Xenopus tropicalis: one gene and its partners. The main gene of each other region encodes a partner of the protein of the gene in region 3 in a complex. Links are inferred from orthologs where the notes say so. Each region holds a gene or a part of one and is shown on either strand. Other genes may lie near its edges.

Region 1 (4,316 bases), on a different chromosome or scaffold from region 3:
TTGCAGACGATTGGCAAAGTTAAAAAATTTGGATTGGCGCCCAGGCAAAATCTACATTCCGGGGCTGAATCGGTAGGTGGAGGTAGAATTTCTATTGTTCCTCCATAACTGATGATTCAGCCCTGAACGTCAGTGAAGCCTTTTGCGATATCGGTTGCCTCTTCAAGTTGCCACACACCAAATATCATACAAAACGAGGTGCGTGTATGGCCAGCTTAAGGGTTGGTACCTAAGCTGTCTATGGGTATCCACATTTACACCCCTGATTATTGCACCATTCCAAAAAAAATGTCAACCCTGTGGGACAGTTTTGACAAGTTATGCCCCCAGTTCATAGTTTTGATCTGACAATCTGTGAGTTCTGGCAAATGCCAAAGGGTCTGCTGGGAGATGCCATAGACCAGTGGTTCTTACAACCCTTTCACAGGGGTTGCCTAAGACCATTGGAAAACACATTACAGATGGTCTTAGGCTGATGCCACACGTGGCGTTTTTCCGCTGCGTTTTTTCTCGGCCTAAAAACGCTGCACAAGCCACACATGGCGTTTTTCAGCCTAGTACTGGTGACGTAAGCAAATCCTGTTGCCACGGTGCTAATAGTACGAAATAGCAAAAAACGCAGCGTATTTCCGCTAGGTCTGGCAGTTGCCTTTGCGTATACATAGGAATAGCTTGCTTTGCAAGTACTGGCGTATTTCGGCCTACGCTTGAAAAATCTGTGCTAAGGCGTTTTCTAGCGTATTTCCGCATTGTGTGGTTTGCTTCACGTCTTTTCAAGCTATTTCTATGGATGATGATATCAGGCGTTTTTCAGCCGCCGAGAGAATTAGAAAATACGCAGCGGAAAAACGCCACGTGTGGCATCAGCCTTAGGAAGCGAGATACCGCTCCTCTATGGCTGGGGGGGGTCACCACAACATGAGGAACTGTATTAAAGGGTCGCGGCATTAGGAAGTCATAGACAGTCACTATTTATTGGGCTGCGGGTGCTGTTTGGGCCTCTGAGTACTGGAAATGTCTGTGTTGGGTCTTACTCCAGACCTGCATCAGATTCCTATCTCTGCCCAGTGCAGCCTGTGACTGAGGTAACCTTGGTGGGTTCTAAGCCCTTTTAATTCAATGGTTAAAAGCAACGTGGACGCAGTTTATAATTATCAGGAGACTGTGCTGTTACTAAAGTCACAACCTTAGGGAAGCCCAAAACATGCTCTCTTATGTAAGTTAATATATGTGCCTATGCCTCCTGGTGTTACCCTACTATCGCACTCTATTTCGTAGGCACTTGTTGGCCGAGACTTTCTATCCGCTACTCCTCTCTATCATCTAAGTGCTATCAATGTTATCGCAAAGCCGGTCTGGGACAGACTATCCAGTAATCTCTATGGTTAAAAGCGACTCTATCCAGCGCTGCCGGAAGTCTTATTGGTTCAGTCCATGCCGTGGTGCAGCTTGGGTAGCAGCTGTCCGCCATGGCTTCCCGTGCCCTCTGTGTGTGTGTCCGCGCTGCTCTCCGTCCCCTCCCCCGGCGAGCTTTGCCGGCACTGAGCCTTGCTGCATGTCGGACACGCTCCTCCTTGGCACGGCCATCTACGGCCGCTCCTATACTCGTACCGCAGGTAAGGGGGAGCTAGAGACAGAGCCAGGGCAGGCCGGGCAGGGGTCACTGGGGAGACCGGCACCTGTGCCAGTGGAGAGACAACGCTATAAAGTCAGTGCTCCGCATCTGTCAGTGATAAGTATGGGGCGGGAGTGGGCGCTTTGGATTGGAGCGCTGCAGCAGTAGGAAGTTTATACATCCTAGGTGTGTGCAGAACTACTACTCCCAGCAAGGTTGGTGGGGGGGAATGAAGGGAGATCATGTTAGACTGCGTGTTTCCTGTTCTGTTTCATTCATAGCCCATGTGACTTGTATTTACACATGTGCATTCCTATTTACACACTGTAAGTACATGGAGCAGGTAGGGGGTGCTTGTGTTGGTGGGAGAGCCTCAGTACCGGTACTGCTGATACCCTGTGTGGGCTCACTGCCATATTCAGCATGCTGGCCCCATGGGACGTACTATGCATGATGGGCGCAGGACACCCTGATTTTATTCCAGCAAAAAAGCAGTTTATGCTAGAAAGCTTGCTCTGAGCAGCATCTGCAGCCAAGCGCCTGCGCCGACCTTCCCTGCAGGCAGTGGGAGCGCTACATATACAGGCACTGTATCCTGATGGGAAACTTACCTAACATCACTGGGGCACCCTACAGTGACTATAATAGATAATACTTCTACCCTGGGCAACTGAGCATGTTCCACATTTGGGTGGGATTCCTAGGAAAGCTGTAATATGGTTGTGGCACATTCCGCAATGGGCTGGTTTATTAATATATTGTTTTTGTTTGTTTTTTAAAAAGCGCACCAGCCTTGGGGTAGAATGTTAGCAATTAGTGGCACCAGGGGCTGCTGAACAGGTTCCTCCCAGTGAATTGGGGGTTTAGCTCTCATTTCACACATATATTTGGCAATTCTGCCTAAAGGTGGCCACACACGTGGTGATTTGCGATCTTGGTCACACGAAAGATCGTACAATCATCCACAAACCATTCAGGGCTGAAACGGCACATAAGGAGGTAGAAACAATAGGATTTCTACCTCCTTCTGCCGATTCAGCGCTGAAGGCAGATTTTGGTCAGGCGACTTCTATGGCGCCCGATCAAAATTTTTTAACTGGCCCGATCGGCGAGTCGACCGATATCAGCACCTTCCTGCGTTATCGCCGACTTGCCATACACGCACCGAATATCGTACGAAACCGATATTATCGGTGCGTGTATGGCCAGCTTAATACTTGAAAGGCAGCGAGCACTGCATTTCCCTGCATTTTGCACTTAGCACTTGAGCACTTAACCTTTTAGCAAAAAAGAGGCTATAAAGGGCTTTGTCTTCAAGGATTGCTTCAGGAGCCTGAGGCTCAGGGGGTAATCCCTACACATGAATCACAAATCACAAGTGGGCCTTCGGAGGAACTGTCCCAAGCCAGGGTCGCCCTTTGTTAACCTCTAAGCTGCTTTGCTATGTTGAGTATTACAGCCTTCAAATTGCTGCCACTGTATATACTGGTGTAACCATCTGCCAAGCCCCTGGGTTCTTACAGTCAGTACCGTTGGGGAGCTTCATAGTTTTGCGGTGCTGCTTATTGCCAAGTTGGCCAATCTATGCGGCCTGCTAACAATGGAGATCTGCAGCTTGGCACTGCCCCAGTGACCAGAGAGTGGCACTAGAGAACTGCAGTGTTTAGTTTAGTGCTCCTTATCATGGTGCTGGTGGTGTTCTTCTCTTTGCCTTAGCCAAGAAATCAGTATGACAGCTCCCTCCTGTAGTAAAGATTTCAGATGCAAAGGAGCTCTTGGGAAATGGTTAGGTGGTAGTGCAAAAACACTGTGCTGTTAAATGAGAGTCCCTTATCTCGTGAAAATTCAGCACTGGGTACCTTTGGGCCATAAGTGTCTGGAGCCCATTTACCTACACTTTGCCCGTGGGCAGTAAGCCATAGAAACCAATCAGCGATTGGCTCTTTTTCAGCCAGCCACATGTAGAACAATGAGAGCAACAATTTGATTGGTTGCATTGTGTTACTGCCCATGGGCAAATTTGCCCAGTGTTGATAAATGACCCCCAGTCTTTTGACATTCCTGGGTGTTTGAAGGAAATACCCATTCAAAGTAAATTGGGGACAGTTTCAACTATTCTATCCCCCTCCCATGGATGTACAAAACACCCTGTATGCTGTGACCTTTATACTGAGAAGCAACATTCCTGTTAGTATTAGGCTCCCATTCATATGTATAAATATAAACATGGAAAGAGAGCAGGGCTCTGGAGTCAGTACATAAATTCTTCTGACTCCTTAGTGTATGGTACCCCCACCTTCAACTCTAGGTACCCAAACTTGCCTCAGACTCCACAGCCCTGAGAGAGGGTTGCTGTGTTGGGCAAACCGTGTCTTTAACCTTCGAAGGGCAAATTAATTGAAAAAATGACTCCAGTGCCCACTATGCCTCCCTCACATGTTCTGCTATTTGTAGGATGCTAACAGGTGCAATTTTCCCCAATGTAGTTCTAAACAACTTTTTAATATACATTTATTTTTAATTTCCACTGGTTTAAAGTTATGTGTAAATATAATTGCTTTTGAAAGCTGTCTGTGTTTGTCCCTTTCTGCACTGCTGACTGACTCTTGAAGCAATGTAGTAGAGTTCTGCCTTGCATGCTGCTTCACAGGCCTCTCAGTCAGTTGGCTTTCTATTGTTTTAGTCAGGACCAGCAGTGCAG
Region 2 (3,650 bases), on a different chromosome or scaffold from region 3:
TTAGTGATGCAGCCCCCCCAGACCCTGTAAGTTCTGGGGGCGCCATCACAAGAGCCACCTCAAAAGGATAGAATTGCCCCTCTGGGCTCGTTGACGTTTCCTCTCCTGACTAGTCTCTCTGTAGGACCATAGAATGATTTGATTGTTGCCCTTGGGTGGGGGGCAAATGATTGGATCAACCAGATTTGACATATACTTGTTTAGCAACCTCATCATATGAGCAGACCTTTATGTGTATGGTCAGCATAAGGCAAATAAGGAAAAAGTTTGTTATACATGGTGTTTAACTAGGAGAGGAAATTTTTGCAGGAATGTAATTCTAAAACTGATTGGCACTAAAGTTATATTGTCTCCCCCGAGCCCCTTCACTTTTGTAGACCACCAGCAGTGTTTCAGTAGCAGCGATTAGGCCAAAGCACTAACGTTTGCCCTATAGTTTGCCAAGCCCCACATCACCGATACATCTAGGAGGGCCACAGGTTGCCCAAGTCAGGCTTAAATACAACTGTTAAAAATTAGGGTTAAATTGAGCAGTAATAGTGCATCCCCTTTATACAGCAACTATTTACACACTACTCATAAGGATCAAACATGTTTTTTCTGTTTTATGTTTAATTTAGTTAGGTTTGGTTTTTATCCAGGCTCTGCATACCCTTTCATTGTACTGTAGTACAGAAACCTTCACTGTTTCACGCAGGCGTAATATGAAGGCAACCACTGTGTATATTACTCGAGCCTTGTTCTATAAGCTCAATACTACACGGAGAGTCGAGGCTACAAAGATCAGACAATGGCATCTCCGGAAGCAAAAGGCTGGTAACTAAAGTAATAGCAAGAGTTTGTGTAACAGAGGCCATAGCACAGAGCTATATGGCACAGAATCCAGCTGGAACCGATCCCCTGTAGGCTGCCGTTTAGTGCTGAGTCCACTTTATGCTCTTTAAGTCAATTCCGTCCTGGACCATCTCCCATAACGGGCTGCAAAGAAATCAGAGAAGGTGAATCACTGCTATATAAATCCAGAACAAAACTGGGCCCACAGTGGGGAAAATTTGCACATCATCAAGGAACATTAATGTCTACATCACATTAAAGGTTAATTCTGAAAAGAGAACCCTCACCCTTTATAAACATTCTTTAGGTGGCCATGCAATGGCAGATTTAAGCTGCCGATTTGGCATCTTATCTGCCCGTGTATGGGGCCCTCAAATGCGCCTCCCTAACCGATATCTGCCCAAAAATTGGCCAGATGTTGATTGGGCCAGGATTGGACCGGATTACTCCGATATTGTCAATCTAAGGGGGTATATCGGAGAAAAGATCCAATCATTTGCTGACCTCATCAAACAAGCGGATCTTATACTGTATGGCCACCTTTAGTCAGTAGTTCCTGCTTAAAGCAGACTACCTATATCAACTACTGACGAGTATTCCTTTAATCATTCCCTCTAATTACAGCGTATATCTTCCTCACCTCATCTCCCGCAGCCGTTTTACTTCTTCAACACACTTTTTGACTGTGTAATCAACTTCTTCCTCAGTAGTAAAACGCCCAATGCCAAATCTAATGGGCAGAAATTACAATTTACATATAATTTTGAAAATATACAAAGTTCCACAGTCTCAGCAGGGCTATAAAATAGAAGGGTTTATAAATCACACATACAGCTTACATATACATAGACACATTTAAGATCATATCTGGTCAATGTAAGTCCTAGACATAGATAGTAGAATTTCTCACATGCACACCCAAACCTCTCCAGCAAGTTAGGGGGGACGGCACCAGTGTCAAAACGCTGAACCAAAAGGGATTACCAGCACAGTGACACACAAGGGTGGATTCCCTGCTTGTAATCGCAAACACTGCGCTGGTAATTCCTTTTGGTTCCTAGACTTTTAGTTGCCTTGATGTATGGTGCTTCACATTACGGAAAGATCATTATCCTATTTGGGCACAAAACATTCTTCCAAACATAAAACAAGTAGCAAATTAAGATACAGTGAGTAAAAACAGACCTTATAGATGAATGCGCCAAGTCCTCATCAGCACCGATCGCACGCAAGACGTAAGATGGCTCCAGAGAAGCGGACGTGCAGGCGCTAGAGGCAGAGGGAAAAAACAGTTATTCCAATCACAGAGAAATTTTTTTATTTAATCTAAATTTAAAAAAGTGTTTCTTACAGCATTGGATCCCCCTAAAATTGGCTGTATAATTAAATATATATATGAGGCAAAGGGGTTGCAAGGAGTTACAGGACGCTGTGTGTTAGTAGGGCTATAACTTACCAGGCATTGAGATTCTGGCTGTTGGAAGTGATATATATTAATATCAGTGCTTTACAACTGTGAGGCTGCACTGGATCAGGAGCTGGGGTGAGATTTTGGGGGAATGCCTATTGCCAGCTTGGAGAAAAGTCTGAGAGTTGGAGTAAACATGTATTTGCTTTCCTAGATGTTCTTGGAACTGTGGCTGTATGACTGATAGATCAATGTTTTCCCATACATATAACATGAGCTGAGAGTGTCCCTGCCTGAAGGTTGGACCTCAGATGGGGGTTTGAATAGAGAGACTAAGAAACACTGAATTAAGCTGCCATTTAATTACAAAACAGAAAACAAATGTGTGCTCCATACCTTCCAGATGATAAGGCCACATCTTTAAGGGCCATCAGTAAGCTTTCCCCTTCCACATAAGCAAAGGAAAGGTTTATGCATCCTGTGGGGGCAAGAAAGTGTGATTATTTTACAGTTATATAATGGCCACAGTTTACATATCCCAAAAGCTACAGTTTCAACAGTCAGAAAAATGTTAAGTTCCATCACGGAAAGTAAGACATTAATCACAGTGACTGATGCAAACTACAGGTCATATACAAAGACAGATGGAAGACTGTAACCAGACCATAGGAAAACTTGGCACGTAGGGTGTTCTGCCCACTACAAGCAGTCAAACACCCCCTTTGCCTGTTACAGTTCCTAACGTTATACAATGGCAAGTGAACATTTGGGCACAGAGGTCTAACTGTCACAGATGAGTGTGTGTGCCACCCAAGGCCATTAATGTTGTGACAGGTGGAGATGGGCTTACAGCTGGAGGGCACTGGTGGTCAAAACACCCCGAAAACCTTAAGCTATGTGGAAAAGAATCCCAGTAATTGTCTGAGTCAGGAAATGTAACCATACAATAAGCCCCGTAATATAAGCCTGACAATTCATTTCATGCCCTTACAAGAGGACAGGCTGTTGGCTTACATACGGGACATTATTTTCTAATCAAGTGGCAAGGTGGCTACTTTCCGGTTCTAAGATTTTAGCTTTACCTGCCCTGACTTTTCAATGTTTACAGCCATTTTTGATGCCCACCATACAAATCAGTGTATTAGGCACAAATAACAAAGTCCCTTAGCTTAACAAATGCAGCTGGGGGAGGGGAAGGTATTACCTGGGTACCGATGCTCTGCATCTCCGTTTAAAACAACTTCAGGAATTTGGCTCATTATATTCTGGGTGAGTCTTTTGGCTAGAGCACTGATTCTTCTGTGATCATACTGTAACATAGATGTACAATTGTAGAGTATTAATGCGCCAATGCACAGGAGATAGTACTCATTTCTGCAACATTTCTCCACAGCAGCAAAAGCAATAA
Region 3 (4,194 bases):
CAGAGCCAAAGCTGGAAGTTTTTGTGCAATGGTTTTCTACAATTATTACTCTAAGGGGCTGATTTACTAATCCACGAATCCGAATGGGAAAAATTCGGATTGGAAAACGGACATTTTGCGACTTTTTCGTATTTTTTGCGACTTTTTTGTAGCCGTTACGACTTGCGCGAATTGTCGCGACTTTTTCATAGCCAGTATGACTTTCGCGAATTGTCGCAACTTTTTCATAGCTATTATGACTTTTGTGAATTGTCGCGACTTTTTCATTGCCATTACAAATTTCGTGAATTGTCGCGACTTTCGTATTGAGCACTCAAAAAAGTAGCAAAATACCGATCATTATGAAAAAAACGCATTCGGACGCTTTTCGGACGTTCGTGGATTAGTAAATGTGCCCCTAAATGTATATGGCAATATGGGTAGCGCATAAATATGGCGCCAACATAATCTCTCAATTAGGAACCTATATACTTGTTTTTAGTTCTTACAACACAATATCACACAAAAACTGTAAATGCTGCTTAGTTACTAAATGCATTAATAGCAGCACACAGAGCCACTCTAAATCATACATGTGTCAATATAATTTTAAATGCATGTGTGCAGGTATGGTGAGTGAGTCTTCTTGTGGGAGTGTTTCTTCCTTACTTATGGACTGTCTGTATTTTTAAAGAATACAGATTGGTTGCAAGTACATTTTTAATAAATGTATAACTGTTAAGTGTGTGAGTGTACACAATTCTCCCAACAACTGCAGAGCCAAATGTTGCCAATAGTGGGTACTGGGAGTATGATATATTAAAGAATAATAAAGAATAATGAAGAACAGATTTCCTATACACTTTGAACTGCCTATTTAAAACATTTATAGTTTAAAGATGGGGGTATTGACGTTATTTGCCAGTTTAATACAGGTTGTAATATAAAGCATGTATTAAAACAGCTAATATAATTAGATCTACTACGTAGCCTACATATATATTTATACAATAAATGGTTATTACTACATAGCTTAACATATAGTTCTAAAGGTGCAGACACTCACACGACCTAAGCAGCAGGTAATCTATGTGACAATGTGAAGGTCTCTTCCCTTTTCTCCCTCCTTTGGCACTTTCAGCAGATCCTATCACACGAGCCCATGACGTCACAGCTACGGGAGGGGACCTGGGACAAACATGTCAGCGGCGTAAATTTACTCTAACATCCCTGAAACGTGTTAAAAGAAAGCCCTATTGGTCCAACGCTCGCAGCTGCGACGACATTCTCATTTTCCATAGATCGCCGATTTAGGTATCTTTAATATTTAAAAGTTTAGCACTGATATTACAAAGACATATGACTGTTACGATAAGAGGAACAACTTGCCGTAGGCGCTTTTTAGGCAAATAGCATTTTTACAGAAAATACCACAAAAGTTCCAACCGAAAGCAAAACGCGGCACGAACACGTTTGTCCCAGATCCCCTCCTGTAGTCGTGACGTCATGCGTTCTTGCGCTAGAAGCTGCTGAAAGTAGGCAAGAAGTGAAAGAAGGGAAGAGACTTTCACGCTGGTTCACCTATCAACTGTATAGGGAGTGTGAGTGTCTGCATCTTCCTAAGGCTCTATTTACTTATTGCACCCCAGCGCTATTTGTAATAGTGCAATATTCAGCATTTATTATTAGCCTGTGTCAGGATTAATTCGCACTGCACGCTTAAGCCTCAGTGTTGTATGTTAACTCCGTATTAAACTGACATGGAGTTTAAGCTGTAAGAAAATTCAGTTACAGAGCTGTCACGATTTGTCATGTAAAACCATAATATTCCCTATACTCAGGGACTGGCATTGTGAAATATCTACTCAGCAACTGGCACTGTGAGATAACTACAACTCATGTCATACATTTACCTCTTTTCAAAAGGAAAAAAAATAAATTTGTGAAAAGAGAAAATATGTTTCTCTTGTACTGCAGTTTAAATGTTAATATTCACATTTAAACTGCAGTCAAAAAAATGTGGCTTTCCTATCCATTAAGTACTCTATTAACATCTCTCTGGCCCTGTGAATAGTTTTGAAGAGTGTTTCTGAGACAATTAGCATTTGGTCTTCATTGTTTTATTTTTTGTGGTTATTTAGGTTTTCGTTCGACAGCTCTCCAGTTTGGTATTTCAGCAGCTATCTAGTTGCTTGGGTCGTTTTTAACCTAGCAACCAGTCAGTTATTTGAATGAGAGACTGGGAAATAAAAAGGACTAAATAGAAAGATAAGTAATAAAAAGTAACAATAACAAAATTGTGGCCTCAGAAAGCAATAGATTTTTGTGTGGCAGTTTCAGTGGACCCCATCTAAAAGCTGAAAAGAAGCAGAAAAGGAAGGCAAATAATTAATAAACTGTAATATATAATGAAGACCAAATGCAAAGTTGCTAGGAATAGAAAGGAACAGTAACACCAAAAAATGAAAATGTATCAAAGTAATTAACGTATGAAGGTACTGTTACTCTGCACTAGAAAAAGTTGCGTGTTTGCTTTTAGCAACACTACTGTAATTTAAAAATACTCTGCTGTGTAGCCATGGGGCAGTCATTTAAACTGGAAAATTGGAGCAAAGGCACAGGTTACACTGCAGATAACAGAGTCTACAGAGCTTATCTGTTATCTGCTATGTAACTTGTGCCTTTTCTCTTATTTTCCAGCGTTATTTGCCTTTTTCTTATTTTGACTCCAGATTTAAAAAAAACTACTGCTCTGTAAGGCTTCAATTTTATTATTATTGGGTTTTTTTTATTTACCTTTATTTCTATGCAGCCCCTTTTCTATTCATATTATCAATCACTGGTAAATTGCACCCTGGTAACCAGATAGCTGCTTAAATGCCAAACTGGAGAGCTGCTGAACAAAAAAAGCTTAATAAATAAAAAACCATAAAAAATGAAGACCAAATGCAAATTGACTTTATCAATATCTGCATACTAAAGGTGTTTATCAGGGTCAGTTATGCTAGGCAATAGAAAACAGATTTATTTTGAGGCCATATTTGTTTTGCTATTTTCATATTTAATATAATTTTTCCATCGTGGCTTCTTCAAGAACTCATGCACATTTATGGTACATTGAAATTGGATTGGTTTTCAACTGTACTAATCACAGTGTGATCACTTTCTTAATTTGGATGTACCATGAGTCATTTTAACTGCATGTACAAGTTAAAATTGTTCAATAAATGTATATTGGAAAGTTACATATAATTACATTTTCTTTTATTGTGCAAAAAATTGGATCCCATACAAGAGGAGGAGCTAACATTTTTCACTTTCATTTTTCCTCGATTTTAGAAGAATGTAAGCTGTTCACAGATCATATATAGCCATTCACCCAACATGCACCAAACTTCACTCTCAAAATATACAGATAAGGCAAGGATTTATATAAAGTTGGTTAAATTGCATACATGACATCACTACCTGGGATGGAGTTTTATATAAAAAGCATATCCAGTTGAACTGCATGACAGTAACATTTAATTTTTAAGATGTGTTTTGAGTGCCCCCAGAATTGTGTATACAGATGTATATCACAAATGGTAGTGTGCTTGTGGCCTCAGCCAGTTACGCTAAGGACATACTCGAAGAGGTTAGAAAGTGGACATGTAAATAAAGGCTAGAAAAAGACCAGTTGCAAACTGTCTTCTAACATCTTAACATCTTCTAATTTAAAAAAATGAATTACCATGAATATATGATCAATATAATATTGAAAAGAATAATATAATGTCTAATTGCCACAAAGTTATTTTATATTTGCAATTATTACAATGTGCTTTATATTTGTTTATATTGCTTTATATTTTAATGTTAATGCTGGAGAGTCTCGAAGTAATAAAAGTTTGTTGTTTTGAAACAGAATCACATAATCTTTGAAAAATGGCAGCCTCCAGCCGGTCACAAGTGTTGTCTCTCTACAAGATTATGCTAAGAGAAAGCCAGAGGTTCAATTCTTACAATTACAGGTACATTTTCTTCTCATACTTACTCAAAACCTACTTTACTTTCTTATATATATATATATATATATATATATATATATATATATATATATATAGAAAACATTTGGATAAGGGCACTTTCAGTAATTGGGATTTATATACCATATGGTATTTTTTCAGTGGCACTCTACAGATCCAACCTGGCCAAAAGATAGTCACGATACCA

The links.
Region 1: the proteins of lyrm4 (region 3) and ndufab1 are in contact, whole or in part, in a crystal structure (PDB 6ODD), measured with the Homo sapiens proteins. The link is inferred for Xenopus tropicalis from reciprocal best matches to the Homo sapiens genes LYRM4 and NDUFAB1. Residues at the interface, in NP_065141.3 of Homo sapiens: Arg6, Leu10, Ser11, Tyr13, Arg14, Leu17, Arg18, Lys21, Arg37, Phe40, Arg41, Lys44; in NP_004994.1 of Homo sapiens: Lys92, Asp111, Ser112, Leu113, Asp114, Val116, Glu117, Met120, Glu123, Asp124, Glu129, Ile130, Asp132.
Region 2: the proteins of lyrm4 (region 3) and nfs1 are in contact, whole or in part, in a crystal structure (PDB 6W1D), measured with the Homo sapiens proteins. The link is inferred for Xenopus tropicalis from reciprocal best matches to the Homo sapiens genes LYRM4 and NFS1. Residues at the interface, in NP_065141.3 of Homo sapiens: Phe23, Tyr26, Asn27, Tyr28, Thr30, Tyr31, Arg34, Arg35, Asp38, Val65, Arg68, Gln69, Ile72, Thr78, Asp79, Lys80, Leu81, Ile82, Ile83, Asn85; in NP_066923.3 of Homo sapiens: Leu56, Arg57, Pro58, Leu59, Pro68, Leu69, Pro71, Arg72, Leu74, Asp75, Leu78, Glu314, Tyr317, Arg321, Asp372, Arg412, Phe413, Thr414, Thr415, Glu417, Glu418, Tyr421.

Annotation. Positions count from the first base shown.
Region 1 is NC_030685.2:20,205,344-20,209,659, reverse strand, and holds the start of ndufab1 (acyl carrier protein, mitochondrial), read left to right. Parts: upstream 1-1,436; 5' UTR 1,437-1,469; coding exon 1,470-1,616; intron 1,617-4,316. UniProt on the Homo sapiens protein: Carrier of the growing fatty acid chain in fatty acid biosynthesis.
Region 2 is NC_030686.2:42,814,085-42,817,734, forward strand, and holds part of nfs1 (cysteine desulfurase, mitochondrial), read right to left. Parts: intron 3,553-3,650; coding exon 3,447-3,552; intron 2,721-3,446; coding exon 2,639-2,720; intron 2,104-2,638; coding exon 2,020-2,103; intron 1,565-2,019; coding exon 1,475-1,564; intron 979-1,474; coding exon 915-978; 3' UTR 1-914.
Region 3 is NC_030682.2:88,245,222-88,249,415, reverse strand, and holds the start of lyrm4 (LYR motif-containing protein 4), read left to right. Parts: upstream 1-1,269; 5' UTR 1,270-1,293; intron 1,294-1,460; exon of another isoform or gene 1,461-1,580; intron 1,581-3,886; 5' UTR 3,887-3,906; coding exon 3,907-3,992; intron 3,993-4,194.